3 linked regions of the Drosophila melanogaster genome follow. The gene in region 1 interacts genetically with each later gene. Each region holds a gene or a part of one and is shown on either strand. Other genes may lie near its edges.

What was found. A genetic interaction does not mean that the proteins touch.
Region 2: of bcd (region 1) and tsl, changing one suppresses a phenotype caused by changing the other (phenotypic suppression), as found in Drosophila melanogaster (one study listed by BioGRID).
Region 3: of bcd (region 1) and bin3, changing one enhances a phenotype caused by changing the other (phenotypic enhancement), as found in Drosophila melanogaster (one study listed by BioGRID).

What each region holds. Positions count from the first base shown.
Region 1 is NT_033777.3:6,754,945-6,761,569, reverse strand, and holds bcd (bicoid), read left to right. Parts: upstream 1-2,103; 5' UTR 2,104-2,298; coding exon 2,299-2,463; intron 2,464-3,000; exon of another isoform or gene 3,001-3,022; coding exon 3,023-3,098; intron 3,099-3,138; coding exon 3,139-4,097; intron 4,098-4,609; coding exon 4,610-4,894; 3' UTR 4,895-5,728; downstream 5,729-6,625. UniProt on the Drosophila melanogaster protein: Segment polarity transcription factor that provides positional cues for the development of head and thoracic segments.
Region 2 is NT_033777.3:21,777,146-21,784,310, forward strand, and holds tsl (torso-like), read right to left. Parts: upstream 5,392-7,165; 5' UTR 5,339-5,391; exon of another isoform or gene 4,843-5,338; intron 4,761-4,842; exon of another isoform or gene 4,573-4,760; intron 2,639-4,572; 5' UTR 2,617-2,638; coding exon 2,407-2,616; intron 2,059-2,406; coding exon 1,207-2,058; 3' UTR 969-1,206; downstream 1-968. Other genes in the region: CG6800 (uncharacterized protein), read left to right, coding at 1-68; Polr1H (RNA polymerase I subunit H), read right to left, coding at 144-168, 233-452, 504-621.
Region 3 is NT_033778.4:6,212,937-6,218,035, reverse strand, and holds the start of bin3 (bicoid-interacting protein 3), read right to left. Parts: upstream 3,469-5,099; 5' UTR 3,285-3,468; intron 1,840-3,284; exon of another isoform or gene 1,433-1,839; intron 1,351-1,432; exon of another isoform or gene 1,299-1,350; intron 1,212-1,298; exon of another isoform or gene 1,142-1,211; intron 1-1,141. Other genes in the region: Ttc7 (tetratricopeptide repeat domain 7), read left to right, coding at 4,095-4,224, 4,285-4,567, 4,709-4,820, 4,878-5,099.

The sequences.
Region 1 (6,625 bases):
GATAATTGTAAATTGTGTAAAATAATAAATTTCCAGTTAACTATCAACGGACCGCATAGGGCGCTTCTATTCCGTCCCTTTCTCGCTGCCCACTGACGGCTCTCCTTGTCCTCAGCTGCATCCCGGCAGCGTCATTATGACCATTGCGGCGATGCCTCTTGGATGCAGGTTCAGGTCCTGGTCCAGGTCCTGGCAGGTCCGGCTGCTTCATGCAACGCTCGACTTGGCCCGACCGAACTGGACACACACCGAAACCGAACGAAAGAGACGGCTAGACGGCGTGCGACAGAGAGGGCTGCCGCTCGCATTCAGGCGCAAGCGGATCCAAAACAGAAAATGTCAAATTTTGTAATTTATTACCCGAATCCTGTTTCTGTCAGTGACTCTTTGGGTGTTTCGCTTCAGCAGCGGCACACACGGGGGCATTCAGCATTCAGGGTCGCCGAGCGGGGAAGGGAGAAGTCCTTTGTCACACACTGCGTCTGAATTTGTGGCCCAGTTCCGCACAGTGGTATCTAGCAGATACTTTTTGTAATATTTGTAAGAATGCACAGAACTTCGTTACATTCAGAGATTTCTAGTTTCTAGTCAGATGACTAAATACAATATTATGTGTCAAAGTAATTAATTTTGTTTTTGAATAAATTTCTAAAATATCAGCTTGCCTTTAACGTAAATATAGCCTTTTCTACCTATCTTTATCTGATATAAAAAAGTAGCATTTGAAATGCTGTTGTTGCAATGGTATCGAATTGGTATTAAAGCTCTGGCCCTGTTTAATTTGTATTTGTAGTCAGAGCAACCACTGTACCTTTGTGTGTATCCTTGGGCTTTGCCTATGCGAACGTATTTTGTTTGCCTTTTGGCTGCACTCCGACTCCGTCGACTGGAGTGTCTGTGAATTGACTTTTGTTGCCAGTTGGCAGCGGCAGAAGCAGCAAAGCCCGGCCAACAGCAACAAGCTCCTGCCAGATCCCAAAAGCAAACACGACAATTATTTGGCAAATGTCATTAAAAAATATTTCACTTAAGGCCTTGCGACACTTGCTTAAAGGTCAACTGGCTCGTTGGGTGTGTTTTAAAATGTTAAAGCTTGGGCCAATGCACTGAGCAACTTAATGCTTGTAGATATTTACACAATATTCTTCAACGCTAAACATATCGAATTTTCCAAATATGGAGCCTGAAAATAATAATTGCCAATCCTAGCTTAACATCAGAAATGAGTAGAACAACTTAAAAAAAATTAACAAAAGAATCGAACGCTACAGCTAATTAACTCGACAACTGGTTACCTTTTATTCTTCTAATACATTTTATAATGCACTGCCTAACAGGTACATATAGCAAGCACTATATGCTGTCTTACAAAACGATTATATGATATTTTCTTTCGTACGTAGCCGTTTGAGATCATTTGGAAAAACAAACTCGATCTCCACCATCCTTATTCTTTGTCCCAAGTCCTTATATATCTCGCGATACTAAGATTGAATAATGTAGTTATTAATAGCGGAAGTATGTAACAGAATAAACTACAAAGTGCACATTTTGTTCAATTCAGGCTGGACTGGACTGGAGCATATTAATATTATAATATTAACAAAAATTCAAATTAAACATTCGACACTTGTCTAATTGATTCCTAAATTTGGGGTGCCTGTTTGTTAATTAAATGTTAATATTATGAAGTTCCAAACAGAGCAAAGAGTTTAAGTTTAATTGGTTCTACTTATTTGTTACAATATTCAAGCTTTTTTTTATTATTATTCTCAAATGCAAATCTCTACAAATAAATAAACCTCCGACGTTTTAGAACATTCACCTTTTGTCAGTGAGCACAACCTTTCAATACAGCCCGACAGGGGGCTCTCTACTGCTGTCTCTTCACGCCCCCTGGTGAAAACGCTGTGCACTCAATCGGTTTGCAGCTTTGCCGTACTGTTCGATTAAAAACTTTTAAATTAGAGGCAAACATTTAAAAATAAAATGTCCAAATATTTGTCTAAAATGTATTGTAGACGCTTATTGATTTTTAAATTACTCAAAAGAATGAACATCGAGGGAGGGCCGCCAATTGTGCCATCTCTACATCTCTTCGCTCATCCCTAAATAACGGCACTCTGCAGATGCGAAGCAGTGGATCGCAAAAACGCAAAATGTGGGCGAAATAAGTTCGCGAGCGTCTCGAAAGTAACCGGTTACTGAAAATACAAGAAAGTTTCCACACTCCTTTGCCATTTTTCCGCGCGGCGCTTGGAAATTCGTAAAGATAACGCGGCGGAGTGTTTGGGGAAAATGGCGCAACCGCCGCCAGATCAAAACTTTTACCATCATCCGCTGCCCCACACGCACACACATCCGCATCCGCACTCCCATCCGCATCCGCACTCGCATCCGCACCCACATCACCAACATCCGCAGCTTCAGTTGCCGCCACAATTCCGAAATCCCTTCGATTTGGTGAGTTCCCATCGCAGCAGAGAAGGGCTCTTGTCCCAGGAAAGCTACAGTACAGATTCCCTATGGTGAACAAACAACCAGTGCGATCACTGATGACCATAAACATTTATTGAGCCGCAGCAAATGTGTTTCTAGAACATAGGGCGAAATCTTCTATTATCTTGTTTGTGACTTTTAAAGTATCGTAGCAGAATCTAAAAACCAATTGATATTATTAATCGTTACAGTTAGTATAGTATATAATTGTATATGAATTGTGGGGCATCATGTTATTAGTGATTTGCCGAAATGTTCTAAAAGGTGTTTCATTGAAATGGACGAATGTTAAACCTGTTGCACTCACACCGACAATCAGTAATGTCTATTTTTCAAAAGCCACATCTATGGCCACTGGGTATACATTATTGACTTTATACACTTCATACAACATATTTTCTAAAACAAGCATTGTTGTCCTGCATGATGATTAGTGAAAGTAATATTGCAAGATTCGGTCCCCGAAGCGAATCGTCCTTTCACGTTTTTATATAAAGACAGTGTACCCCTTGATTCTTTGAAGCTTTTCGATGAGCGAACGGGAGCGATAAACTACAACTACATACGTCCGTATCTGCCCAACCAGATGCCCAAGCCAGGTGAGCTCAAAGCCAACAAAGTCAGCCATCGTCTTATCAGATGTCTTTCCCTCAGAGGAGCTGCCCGACTCTCTGGTGATGCGGCGACCACGTCGCACCCGCACCACTTTTACCAGCTCTCAAATAGCAGAGCTGGAGCAGCACTTTCTGCAGGGACGATACCTCACAGCCCCCCGACTTGCGGATCTGTCAGCGAAACTAGCCCTGGGCACAGCCCAGGTGAAGATATGGTTTAAGAACCGTCGGCGTCGTCACAAGATCCAATCGGATCAGCACAAGGACCAGTCCTACGAGGGGATGCCTCTCTCGCCGGGTATGAAACAGAGCGATGGCGATCCCCCCAGCTTGCAGACTCTTAGCTTGGGTGGAGGAGCCACGCCCAACGCTTTGACTCCGTCACCCACGCCCTCAACGCCCACTGCACACATGACGGAGCACTACAGCGAGTCATTCAACGCCTACTACAACTACAATGGAGGCCACAATCACGCCCAGGCCAATCGTCACATGCACATGCAGTATCCTTCCGGAGGGGGGCCAGGACCTGGGTCGACCAATGTCAATGGCGGCCAGTTCTTCCAGCAGCAGCAGGTCCATAATCACCAGCAGCAACTGCACCACCAGGGCAACCACGTGCCGCACCAGATGCAGCAGCAGCAACAGCAGGCTCAGCAGCAGCAATACCATCACTTTGACTTCCAGCAAAAGCAAGCCAGCGCCTGTCGCGTCCTGGTCAAGGACGAACCGGAGGCCGACTACAACTTCAACAGCTCGTACTACATGCGATCGGGAATGTCTGGCGCCACTGCATCGGCATCCGCTGTGGCCCGAGGCGCTGCCTCGCCGGGCTCCGAGGTCTACGAGCCATTAACACCCAAGAATGACGAAAGTCCGAGTCTGTGTGGCATCGGCATCGGCGGACCTTGCGCCATCGCCGTTGGCGAGACGGAGGCGGCCGACGACATGGACGACGGAACGAGCAAGAAGACGACGCTACAGGTCAGGCATGAGTCCACAACCTTTTTTGATCTCTTGATTCTGAGTGTGGCGTTTATAAATTGAAGCTTTAAGCTTTGTAACTTTCAAACTGTCTGGTTTGAGATGTTATTCTGAAAGTACTTCTATTTCCGATCGATGAGATTTGGGAGTTCTCCAATATTTAACATTTAACTTATTAAGTTTTTGTTTTCTAAATTAGACATGGCATTTCTGAAAGGGAAGTACAAGTGTTAAAGATGTATTTTAATATAGAATTTGTATCAAAGGTTAAGATTTCAACCGTTTGAAAGCCCTTAGTTTTCAGGGTTTTTTACTTTTTTATTCATGTAATCACTCTTAATACACTGCAAGTTAAAATAGCATTTCTTTGACCAGAAAAATAAGATCTATGCATTTTAAAAGTGAAAACAGACTCATATGCTGATGAACATTTTTAGCTATAAATTGTAACAATAATTTAGCAATTTCAATCGAATTTATTTATGTTCTAAATGCGTTCGCTCTCTCCCTAGATCTTGGAGCCTTTGAAGGGTCTGGACAAGAGCTGCGACGATGGCAGTAGCGACGACATGAGCACCGGAATAAGAGCCTTAGCAGGAACCGGAAATCGTGGAGCGGCATTTGCCAAATTTGGCAAGCCTTCGCCCCCACAAGGCCCTCAGCCGCCCCTCGGAATGGGGGGCGTGGCCATGGGCGAATCGAACCAATATCAATGCACGATGGATACGATAATGCAAGCGTATAATCCCCATCGGAACGCCGCGGGCAACTCGCAGTTTGCCTACTGCTTCAATTAGCCTGGATGAGAGGCGTGTTAGAGAGTTTCATTAGCTTTAGGTTAACCACTGTTGTTCCTGATTGTACAAATACCAAGTGATTGTAGATATCTACGCGTAGAAAGTTAGGTCTAGTCCTAAGATCCGTGTAAATGGTTCCCAGGGAAGTTTTATGTACTAGCCTAGTCAGCAGGCCGCACGGATTCCAGTGCATATCTTAGTGATACTCCAGTTAACTCTATACTTTCCCTGCAATACGCTATTCGCCTTAGATGTATCTGGGTGGCTGCTCCACTAAAGCCCGGGAATATGCAACCAGTTACATTTGAGGCCATTTGGGCTTAAGCGTATTCCATGGAAAGTTATCGTCCCACATTTCGGAAATTATATTCCGAGCCAGCAAGAAAATCTTCTCTGTTACAATTTGACATAGCTAAAAACTGTACTAATCAAAATGAAAAATGTTTCTCTTGGGCGTAATCTCATACAATGATTACCCTTAAAGATCGAACATTTAAACAATAATATTTGATATGATATTTTCAATTTCTATGCTATGCCAAAGTGTCTGACATAATCAAACATTTGCGCATTCTTTGACCAAGAATAGTCAGCAAATTGTATTTTCAATCAATGCAGACCATTTGTTTCAGATTCGGAGATTTTTTGCTGCCAAACGGAATAACTATCATAGCTCACATTCTATTTACATCACTAAGAAGAGCATTGCAATCTGTTAGGCCTCAAGTTTAATTTTAAAATGCTGCACCTTTGATGTTGTCTCTTTAAGCTTTGTATTTTTAATTACGAAAATATATAAGAACTACTCTACTCGGGTAAATTGTGACTAACTACACATAACTACATACTTAGCCCATATTTCCGTCCCTTTCTAGAATGAACGAAAACAGTATCTGGTTTTCCCGAAAATCTTATGAATTTAAAAATGCACTTTATTGCACATACTCACACATGCCTGCCATAAAATATGATTCGCGATTTTTCCGCGAACACCCGCGGATCATAAAACATTTGCACCAGCTGCCTGTGTTTATTCACCTACCTGAAACCCATACTCTTATCGCCTGATCCTCGCGCGGTCGCACTATTTAGGTAGACACTGTACAGGCAGCACTCGCGGGGCGCCGCCAGGCAACTTGTTGCCCCTATTTTCTTTGATATAAGTTTTGGGAAATCCAGAAGTCCAATAACGGGGCCTATATGAACGAATATTGATTGGGTTTCTCCCAGTTATAGAGTTTTTATTGATCTTGGGCGCGTTTTAGTAGGTGGATTATGGATGTCCTGGGAAAACCAAGCTCTGAATCCATTCTTACTTATCACAAGACTTGTTTTCCTGTGCCCTTCATCACACCTAGTTTAACTACTATAATTAATAAACTACTTTTTAATCCGCCATTTATGAAGATAATTTATAGCATCTATGCATCTTTCAAATATCGCGAGATATCGCAAAGTATTCATAAATTAGTTTTTTATTGATATTGTAAAGCTTTTTAATTTGGTTCAGGTTTTTATTGTAAATACTTTTCACAATTGTGCACAGTGACCCATTAACATGGTTGCGATATTAACTTAAGACTTAAACAAGTTAATTAAGAGTTTTAGCACTTCTTTTCAAAAGATCATGTTTTAATTATGTTTTTAAATGAATCTTTTCGACAATTCTAAAAATATTATTTCGAAAATGTTAATTTTCATATATAACCTAAGTAAAGATATTTTCAACTG
Region 2 (7,165 bases), about 15 Mb from region 1:
ACCGACTCAAGGCCAGCGAGGTGGGTTCTGCTTCAAGTTTGACACCGGTTAGGTATTATAATTGGTAAATTCTATATTTCTCAGGCCGTCGAGCATGATTATTTTCATTAATCTAGGACTATTTACACGGACATTGCTAGCAACTAAGAGTTTTCGGATTCTTTGAATCTGCAAGGTAGAATGTGTGTGATTAGTTGTGGAAGTGAAGGAATATGTTTATCAGGACACCTACTTGCACTTAAGGCAGGTAAAGAACACCGTCTGGCCTTCGTCCGCCGATCGAAGCTGCAGGGTGGCATAGGACATCTTGTCGTGGTTGCACTTGGGACACTTCCTCTCCACAACGGGGCCATCCGCGTCCGATTCCGACTCCCTTTTCGTCCTGTTGAACACCTTGCTGGGATCGTAGGTGTTGAAGTGTATGGTAAACTCGGACTTCTCGCCGCTGTAAACTATTTTTAAGTGTTAAATAAATTAAACAAAGTTGTAATTTCTGGATTTACCATCTGGCTGAAACTCCTTCTTGCAGTTGTAGCAAATCACATTGCCCTTGACTTGAAGCTCGGGCAGAATGGAGCCGCAGGAGGGGCAAAAGCCCGGACAATTGGAAAAAATATCCATGCCAGTATATATCACCCAAAATCAAAATCAAAATACAAAAACCGCACGTGCTATTTCGGATTTCAGTATGAGCGTAACTGAACCGTTTGAAATATACCACACGGTATTAAAAATATACTTGATTCATATACTAAATACGTAAGGGTGGAAAACTAGAATAAGTCTGGTTGAAAGCCTTGATGAAACGGGTAGAGCCGTTTACCCGTTTCGATTACCGGTTCTTAATCAAAATCAATTATTCAAAATAAACTTTCAAAATAGTATTTGATATTCATAGCCAATATTACGTAATGAAAACAGTTAGATTTTAATAGCCAATATCAAGTTATGAAAACAGTAAGATTTTTACTTTTATCTTTACTTTGTATTAAAGTTTACAAAACTATTACATCAATAAGGCGATCTTACGGTCTAGTTAGCTGAAATGCAAGTCGGATGTGTACTGTGTTCCAATTAAACTACCTAAAACTATCACAGGCAGAACATTAACTACGCACTAGAGGTTCCTAACTACAACTAAGCATCTAGGAACTATTGATCCTTGGCTGCCACATATCGCACAGTATATATATATTTAAAATGCAGCTATCGGGTGGGATGACTCTGCGGCATGTTAAGCTCCCAGAGCTTCACATTGTTGTCGAGAACCTCGTGGTACCAGCTCTCCTTTTCCGGCTCCTCCCGGAAGATGGGCTTCAGCGACTTGAGGTCCAACTGCAGTATGGCATCGTTGCCGAGCAGCGAGTCCAGGGATCGCAGTAGAGTACTATTACCGTGCAGTTTCAGCAGGGTCACATACTTGACCACATAGTACTCGTACTGCAGCTTCCTTCTCGCCCATCTTTCCACTGTAGCATTGGCACTAGCCGATCGAATCTGGCCCAGATGGGCGGCAAACCAGGGCGCAAAGTAGTTGTAAAGATCCAACTTGGACAGTCCGTTCAGACCTTTACTCTTGATTCGCTCCTTGATCATGCTGTAGTTCTTCCTGCTGTACACAAACACCTGATACAGCGAATTGCCGGTGGTGTATGAGTTTACGTAGTGGGTGCCCACATCTTCCATAAATCGCACTGCGGAAGTTATATTTCCGATTTGCAGTTGATCCATTCTCGATCGCACATCCGGCTCCAAGGGTTGGTGCACCGGAATCTCAGCGTTAAGACGCCCCGTTTCCCTGAAGCGCACCACCCTCACCAAAACATACGAGTAATCGCCTTGGATGAAAGATGTATTGATGCCCAGCTTCTTGGCCGCATTATCCGGAAACCATCCGCCAGTAAATGCCTCCCACGGTTTGTCCATTCGCTCAATGGAAAAGTCACGGAAGTAGGCCTGGAACAGTTGCCTCCGATTCTCGCAGAACTCCATGTGAAAGTCTCCATGAAAGATTCCGGGCGTGGTGTCTTCATGACTCTCCGCCAGGCCACTCAGATTCTGAAAGAAAAAAATCATTAATTATCTAATTGTCTAGTCAGCTCAATTATCAGGTAATAAATATCAAGTGACATACTTGAATAATCGTATATAATGATCGTTTTCCTAAATCTGATCAAACAAATATAATAAGCGCTCATTCTAACGACAAACGTGGCGGAAGTGAACAATATAATTACAACTAAAAATAGTTTTAAGTGATAACAACTTTAAACCCTATTTTAAAATTTTGATTATACTCCAAATAATTATGGTGATTGTGGTTAAAGGTTAATACAAACAATTCCGAGTTCATCAACGCCATTTAATTTATTAAATGTAAGCTTAACTCTGCCTTAAGTCCCTTACCCTATAGATGTTTTTGGTGGGCTCCTTAAACACCCAGCGATCCGGCTCCGAGTTGTCATTGAGCGGTATCACACGCATGGAGATTCCCAGGTAGCCATAGCGCAGGAATATATTGATGGCCTTGCCGATCCGGAGCTGGGACTCGCGACGACCTCCATCCGCCAGGAGCGCCAGGGTCAGCAGCCAGAAAAGGCCAGGCCACGACCGCATCGCTCAGCATTCAAGGTTAGATCTATAGAGGATTATAATAGAAATATTATATTGCAAATTTAAAGCGATTACACTTGAATTAGGCAAACGTTTCCATATTCCATATCCATATAATCCCTTGCTATAAAATATTATTGATTGAAACAAACGCAACCTATTCCGATCTCTTATAAAATTCGCAATTTAACAATAATGAGGCATATCTATCCCACAATAATTTATTCAAGTGACTAGATAACTCTTGATTGCAATGTGCATATTGATGACAAGCAAGTACAAACAGCGCTATACCATCCGAACTCATTACTCACTTAGACTAAAACCGGAAAGTTTTACAGCAAGCTACTTCGGTGGTTTGTTTATATTTTATAGCCAGTGCAGTAGTTGCGATACAGTGGGGTTAACTAAACAGCAATAATTGCAGGGCCGCCGTGTTTGTTTTCCACTCCATAAACGGGCGATAATATAAGCGCGCTCTAATTGGCCATGAACCTTCAGTGGCGCTGAACTTGAACCGACCAAGTCGACTTGGGTAGAGGCCACCAGCTGGTGGTGATGATGAGCTGGAGCTCTGCGTAGCTCCACTCTGATCACCTTAAGTGGATGCAATTAGCCGCAGGCTCTGTGGCCGTAAAAGCAGCTACAAAGTATAGCCATCAAAATTGGTTCGGCTGTCGCTTTGACTTGCAAATTATTTCCTAAAAACATTTTGCATGCCTCGTAACCGTTTTCCTATAGTTGGCCCACTACACTTCAGAGGACCGGTTATGCCGTTTTTGTTTTTTTTTTTTTTTTTTTCTGTCCAAGCATTATGGCCGGCAAGGAAGCCAAACAAATTGGCCCAAGCCAGACATATACACACATTCTAACAGCTTGGCGAGGCAGCTTTTAATTCGAGCCGTTATCACAGAACGAGCGACGTGTTTGATGGGCCAAAAACACAGAGGTTAGCCGGGTGTTAGCCACGTTTGTGAGTCACACCTGTCGACCCGACGCACTGAAGCGCAGCACCAGACAAAAAAAAAACACAAACGCAGCCATGATGAGACTCAAATGTTAACCATTTACGTGAACCATAAAATGTAGGCGTCGCTAAACTTGTCCAGCAGCAAAAACTAAACAAAAAACAGCAGGAAGAGTGACTGAATGAAACTAGCCGTGAATGGAACAAAGAAAAAGAGACATTTGACTACTGCATCTTGTCTATACTTGCCTATAGTACATATATTACTGCCCATGGGCGCGATTCCAGGAAATATTTGTTTGCACATTTTATAAACACATGAATATTTGCTAAATGCTGCAATCAGCTGTCTTGACCTTACAGATGAACCTCACAGATTGCAATCACTCTACGGATTTAAACATTCTGACTCGGCATAGAATACGATTTCGAAGGCTTCCAACTTCTGGCAAACAACTAATGCCCAAATGAGCTTAGTTCTCCATCGCGAGACCCAGAAAATCAAACTGTCGCACAATTGCCAAACTTGAGGTTCAAAATTTGAGATCCGCTTGAAAGGCATGTGTTATGTGACTTAATGATAGTTAGTTTTGTCGGTGGGGGTATTGACAATAGCGGACGCATAACCTTGTGCAAAAGACCCCAAAAAAAAAAAGAAGCCGCGAACCGGAGTTCGAGATGAAGAAGACGAATTAAATCAAAAATTCAATGCGCGCACTCGGACTCCAAAGCAAAGGCAACTAAAAATCAACTCGTTCAACTGTGACTCCCTGTGCACTGGGAGAAAAGAGTGTGGCTATCTAGGACTAGAACTGAATAAGAGAAGAATCAGTCAGCTCTTAACTCCTCTTTTGAGCTATTTGGAATCTTATTCCAATTGTTTATGCTTTTATCAGATTTAAATCGTTATTAGATTTGTTATTTGGCCTATATTTATCCAATAAGATTTTATAATGTGTATTTTTCTTGGACATCCTAAAAAACCTGCATACATTTCTCTCAGTGCTTCCCACCGTGGTTGTCCGCGGCCCAGTCAATTGGAGATTCTTTATGCGCATTTCATGAGCTCTTTTGTGGTAGTAGTCTGGAGTAAACCCCGGGCGAAGGGCACAGACGTGGGGCATAAGGTCTGCAGTTTATATCGCGCTTAATTTTATGCTTGGTCCGTGTGCGTTGTTTCCTTGAGCGGTGTTAAACAAAAGTTGTCTTGACTGCTGCTGAGGTGCTGCTGCTTTTGCCACTTTTGTGGTAGTATTATTTACCTGCACGAGAACTCGAACGCGAATCGAAATTGACGTAACCATCGGCCAGAAGCGGCTTGTTTTATTTTCGGCAGAAGCTTGAAGCTCCGGCTAATTCTATATGCCAGTCGACACAAATCCGCAGGTCTAGAGTTGTGGCTCGCCACTGGTTAGCCTTATCGCTCTGATACCGGGGGCCATTGCACAAGGCTGGTTGGCTGGCTTTATGGCTGGCATTAGCATCGTTAAGACTCCGATTTTTAACGCTTTGTGGGTCAGAGGTCGGCGGCTTGGTTGGCGCCCTCAAGTGATAAGACGGATCTATGAATAGATCGCTGTGGTTCGAATTACATGCGTTTGCGCAGATTTCAACAACCAACAACGTACACACACACACACACAGGCAGTCGTCAAGTACCCTGAACGGCAAACACTAAAACAGACTTAAAACACACTAAAACGAGCGACGACGTGCCTTCAATTGCAATTATAAGCCGGAATTTGCGGCAGCACTTACACTCAAAACGCGAGCAGCACACCTTCAAGCGCGAAGACTCAAAACCTAACTGAAACTGGCTACCAAAAACTCGATCGCCGGAGAGAACAAGCCGATCCGTTCAAGCAGCTACAGCAGCAGCAACAATATATGTTGCGCTACGACAGCAACATGTTGCTGCTGTGCGTCGTGTCGTCTGATCCAACCGAGCAACTGGCAGCAGTTGCAGTTCAATGACTGGCAGCCAGCAGAAGTTCTACTCCTCCAACGGTAGTGGCTATGGCTAATGCTAATGGCCTGGCACAAATATCTATTGTTGACATCTGCCGTTTGGGGGGACAGCTTTTCCGCTTATTAATATTTCCGAGCACGTCGTTCAACTTCCAGTTTTCTTCAATGGCGCGGGGAGTCGGAGGGCTGCCGAATCGAGGCAGATTGAAATGATTGCAGTTTACCCGGGCCAGACTTGCGCAAGATTCCCATAGAACTGGGCGGCCAGTAATCAAAAACTTTTGGTACTACTTGTGCAAAAAAAAAACTAATAATGAGACCAAAAGTAAGCCGAAAAATAAAAACGAAAACGAAAGTATCAAATTCGCATTACCTTGAAAACATGCTAACAAATTTGGGTCAACTCAAAGTGTTGGGCGACAACGTTTGAAGTTCGAGTGTAATGTTTCAATTAGAAGCTCAAGATACAAATGTATCTGTATCTGTATCTGTTGCTCAAAGAGCCATGGCTGCAGGGCATCCGCTTTGTCGCATTTGCCTTGACTTCCAATGGCCATTGGGAATTTCTGCAAAATTCGCTGCTGGCTTCTAAGAAATGAAAAGGTTCTGATTTGAAGTCTTTTTTTGCTGCTGATATGGGGGGGGGTCTTTCTTTTGGAAGAGGCGTTGGGGGAAGGGCTTCCGAAAAGTATTGCAAAAGCTGGTTGAAATTGTATCTCTCGTATATTTTTCTCTTTTCATATATAGAAGTTCATTTTATTACTTTTGTTTCGGTTTCTGTGTGGGTTTTGCTTTGTCTTTGCAGCATGCATGATTCAAAACTTATGTATTTAAAATTCGGTATTTCAGTGTTTACTCGTTTTTATTTAATTCTCATTCCAGTTTCTTCGGTTCTTTTTCATTTAATTTATTATTATTAATCCCATGTTTAAACTATGTATATATAATGACATTTTTATCATTTATTTTAAATGATATTTACTAACACCGCGGCCTTCTGCGCCCCAAACGATCGATCGATCTGCCGATCCATTCATTTCACTTCATTTATTATTATAATAACAATTCACTCAATTAGCTCAAATCGCGTCAATCTACACATATTGACATTGGAGATCATAAGCATTTTCAACTCATCTTTACCATCGTTACCCTCGGTATCATATCATCATCATAATGATCATTGACTTATGAAATTAGAGAAAAATTCTAATTCATTTGGTTTACGCGACCGTGTTCATCTCACTTCTGCGTCTTCCTTTTCTTTTTTTTTTATGTAATATCAACAATAAATTTTTACTTAATCTTAGTGTGAAATTATTCTTAGAGTACAGCTACAATCTGCTCGCATCGGCTAAGAAAAAAGGATCAAGTAAAAGTACGAAACGAATCATTCGAAATCCTAGCTCAATCTCAGGATACTCTCTGTCGGTATCGTTTTCTTTTTTTACCCCCCATTTCCAATTCATTTCAATCGTTCCTAATCATTGTAATACCGTAAAATATAAGATTTTGATTTGAGCATTCTTTTCCTAATCATTTCATCGATTTTTGGTGTTTTCTGGCACACTTAGCCTGGTTGGGGGAGCTTCAAAATGTACATACATCTATCTCAAG
Region 3 (5,099 bases), on another chromosome or scaffold:
TACATTGATTGGGTGTTTGATTTGACGTAAATTACTTTATCAAAGTAATGAATGTTAGGGAGTTATGCAAATAGGATGCTCAGGACTTTCTGACGTTATTAACACTGGCACGTCTTAAAACCTGGGGATATTCAGGGTATATGGTGTAAGTGTAAGAGTGACATATATTTTGTAAGGAATTTTTAAGAAAATATAAACCAAAAATATAAACCAAATACAAACCATAGTTTGTAATAGTTAGTTTTAGTTTGCTGGCATAGTGTCTGTCCGTTCGTATGAACGTCGAGGTCACAGGAATTAGAAGAGCTAAAAATTTGAGATTAGATTCCGGAGACCATGACGCAGCGTAAATTTATTAACTGCCTACAACCCGCCAAAAACTGTCACGCCAACATTTTTTGAAAATGTTTTGATAATTATTATTTATCGTTTGCACTTCCACTAGCTGAGTAACAGGTATCTGATGGTATATGGGCTCGACTACAGCGTTCTCTTTTGTTTCTTTTAATTTCGCGTCAAGATTTTTAACTTTCTTTTCACACTTTACGAAATAAAATGCTTAAGGTGTTTTACTAAATTACAATACTGCAAAACGCAGTCAATTTGCGGTATATAAGTGAGTAACTTAATCAGATCCGCAACACATTAATAAATTTTACATGGTATTAACTGCAAGGGACTTAAATTTCCGACGGTACAAACTGGAATGTATGTAATACTAATGTTACGCGACCAGAATAAGGTACCTCATACTTAAAGTAAAGATAATATATTTCTTATGCCATTTAATAAACACTTTTATTTAATCAAAATTTCTTAATTTTTACTTATTTCCAAATCGCCATGTTTAAGTTTTCTGTTGAATTTCCCTAATACCTGCATAGACTGCCAACATCTAGTGTTGGTGTTGCGACTATAATATTTTTAATTTGTTGCTTTTTATTGTTAACAACAGCAACAGGTTCGTTGACCAGTCAACGAGCGCTCAGAGAGCAAAACAAATAGAGATATGTAGATACAAACAAGGTTCAAAGCAATCAGTTACCCTCTACTCAGAGTGTTGGAGCGATTTTTCGAAAAGGGTTCGTTTTTTTTTAGAAAGTGTCCAGAAATAGCATTTCGTTTGGTAAAATGTAAATATTTTACAATGTAAGCCAACCAAAATGAGCACAAAAATTAGATTACAATAAATACATCATGCACATAGAAAGGTAACAATTATTTTTGTTGTCAAATAATATATTGCACAGTTTGGGGAGCCTACTAAGAAGATAATATAACATATTTACATATATCAGATGGGCCTTACAAAGTTTAGAGATGTCCTGGGACTCCTAAGATGTCATCAAGGTACCCATCCAAATATTTTAAAAATACTGGATTTTTACCTTTTTCTGGTTATTTTCTTTCTTACTTTTCTTCATAATTACAGATTTTTTCACATCAAGGTCATCGCGATGTGGGTAGTTCATTAACGAACGCCTACAAAACGAAGCTTCACTAATGAGAGTTCGCCGGCTCGTTGACAGATGCATTGGCGCGGATTAAGAATGTGCAGAAGCAAACAAAGGATTGCGGGACCTAAACCAACAACAGCCGGGACAAAAACTGCAGCGGCAATGCAGCAGGAACAATGAAACAAACGGTCTTTTGGCTATTTCACCCATCTTATATTCTAACTTGTCCTACGCACATTTTATATAGCTCCCTAAAAACTGAGAGAAAATGATATAGCCTAAATAAGGAAAATTCAAAATACTTAAAACCAATAAACTTGTTACTAGATAAGTTCCTTCATAATGGCTATAGATAATAGTAATTAACTATTTTGGAAGTAGCAACCTGATTTCTTTCAGAGGATAAGAAAAAAATTACTTTTAAAAAGGTAGTTCCTTTTAAAATTTTATACATTTTCTATAAACTGTAGTGAAAGTTTTTATAAGTGTATCAAGTTAAGAATGCAAACGGGAACCATTCACCCACTACTTTAAAATTGTTAAGCCGCCTTTTTTCAACTTTTCAGTTTTGCGCTTACTTTCCTTTCCATAAACGGGAAACTCATAGAACAAGACACTGTAACCATAATCCACATGCGTGTAATACCTTTAATGTCACTTTTAGCTAATATTCGGAGTGACATGAAAATGAGAAAATAATTTTAATTTTGAATTTTATTTGGGAAAAAATAGCTTCGTGGCCGAATCTTCCTTGTATCTGTTACTTTTCAACAAATCTATATAAACATTTATGTATATATATTTAAACATCTTCTGGCTTGTTTAAATTTGACTACGGTTTCCATGATACTCAAATAAATGAGTGTCTTGATAGAAAAAATGAAAAAAATATTTAGTTCGTAATTACACTTTATAGTGTTTTGTAGGAAAGTGTTAACTTTGTGACAAAGCGCACCAGGGGAGCGTTCGAAGTGGACTCCTATTTTTACTTTTTCTATTAAAATCTATTTTTAATTTAATACTTATAGCAGCTCCATAAGACAGTTTGATTTGTTTTTTGGCAGTTCGGGTAAAAGAGCCACTGTGCATCGAACTGCTAACCCACATATCCGACCCGTTCGCCCCACCATTATTATCCCTGGAACCAACTGCCCACCCCCACCACCGCTTTTGACGAATTCCTTCGGTTGGGGTGAATAATATGCTCTCCGAAGCCTAAAAGATTGGCAAGAAATTTGAAGAATGAGAGGAGCCAAAAGCCTGGAATCTGACATGGATGTTTTGTGTTGATTTGTATATATGTTTTACCTAAGATTTTGTATATGGAAATGCAAATGGAAATATTGCACATTCGAAAAGCAACAAAAACTCAAAAAGGCCGGGCAAAAAAATAAAAGACTGGCAATTAACTTTGACTTCTGAGGGGCACGCGATAAAAGTTATCGATGACTGCGAGAACGGTTGGCATGAGGGGTCACTCAGGAAAAACAAATTTGATTGCTTAAATGGCTCCTAAAATTGAAAGCAAAAGTGGAAGTCAACTCGATAAGAGAGGGTATACGGGGACCACTCTTCTGGTCCATATCCTATTAGAAGGTTGAAATGCACTTAACGTTTGTTTATGCACACACACACAATTAAGAAACTACTCTTGTCCAAATACTCTGCCTGGACTACTTCCATTTCTTCATAGCTTTCCAACTGATTGCTAACTTGTGTGTGCTCGCGAAAAACAGAAACCCTAGGAACAGCTGAGTGTGCACACAAATCCACACGTGCTGCGCCTTTAGACAAAACAAAAATGAATCTTAAGGACAAAACACTTACCGCCCAGAAAGCCCCACGATTGCTCAGTGGCGACTTGAACTTTGTTTTCACTTTTCGTTTCGTTGTTGCCGTTAAATTCGCCACACTCTTGATAAAAAAAAAAAAAAACCGTAAAATATGATTCCGTTCGCGGAGCTCTAATAAGTGCGTCAGTCTCCTGCAAGAAAACACTTACAACTAACATATTTTTATATATATTCTCGGTTAACAGAGCCCACCAGTGTTGCCAATTTTAAAAATGAAAAAATTAGTAATCGAAAAACAATGAAGTTTATAATAGTATGTACATATGCATATGCATAACTGTTGTAAGAAAACAACATAAAATGAAGACATCTTGCTAATATGAGGGATAATGTGATAATGTTCTATTTGGCGAGCAGAGGTTTCATATTTTTAAGAAAGAGCTACCACACTGGGTCTTATCGATTCAATTAACAATATGAACAGCTTCTGATGGATTGCACACGCTTGTGGAAAAAAAAAGATGGAACAGCTGACCGAGAGTTAGCATGTTAGCAGCTAACAGGGGACGGACCACAGATGTCTTAACAGCACTGGTACACAAATCGCTTTACAGCACGCTGTTAGCGGGACTACCGATAATAGTTGCTGTCGATAACAGATGCTGCCATATGTGAGAAAGAAGAAGAGCGAAGAAAACAGATAACTCCAATGTTTGCAAAACAATTTGATTAGTCTTGAAGGAATCCGCTTTAGGCTCTTAGGAACCCGCTTTATAGCGAGCACAGGCACGCACTGGCACACACAGCAAGCAAAGAGTGACAACATTATCCGTGAAGTGGACATATGGCCAACAAGAACATGCGTAACACCACAACCAAAGTGGAGGCCCTGATTGAGAGCTGTCGCAGCGAGGGCAAGTGGCACCGGGTCATCGAGCTAACGGATGAACTGAAGACCGGGTCCCCGCACAATGGTAAGAAGATTTCCGCTGATGACGGTACTCCTGGAATGACTGCCTTCTTTCGTGGAACAGAGTGCCTGGCCAACTTTCTGGTGGGGGAAGCTCGTCTGGAGAGTTACCTGGAGGAAAACGCTCTCGCGTCAGACTCAAATTTTGGTCGCGCCAAGTCTGGATTGGCGGAGGCCCGGCGTTTCCTTCACTTGGCTTTGGGTGAGAGTGGCCAGAAGGCGGGCATCGCCCTGGACGCCTATTTGCTGCTGGCCAAGCTGTGCTTTGCCTGCGGCGAGTATGAGCAGAGTCTAGACAATTTCGTCAAGGCAGAACTCAACACGCTTGCCGAGAAGGAGCTGACCCTGTAAGTTGGGAAAAGGTTTTCTAATCAAAATGTTCTCATCTACTACGTGGGGACTTGCAAATTAAGATGAATGTACACATCAACTCTTAATTAATAGCAAATTTGCAAAACTTATCACTTCTGCTTACATATATATAAAAGTCGCAGCCTGAAGATCCTTGCGGAATCGTATGCCATCAAGGGATTGTGTCTGGAGCAGCAGACTACGAAGCCGTCATCTAAGTTTAAGAAGGCCGAAAAGGACACGGAAATGGTAAAGTCCTCGATTTCAGTTTTAAAACGTAACTGATTTAATAATTTCTTACTCCAGATTAGCTGTTTTGAGCGCGCATCTGATCTGGGGCTGCTCTATCTGCAGGAATACGATCTCGTTAGTGGAAGCAGTGGCTCGTCCAACAACTCGACAGCTGGTTCTACGTTGAATGTAAACGCCTCTACTGTGCAGCCGTCGAGCAGCAGTTTTGCAATCAGCAGTACAATACCGGCGAGTGGTCCAAGTGGACTGGAAATGAACCGCAGGATGGGCGCCATC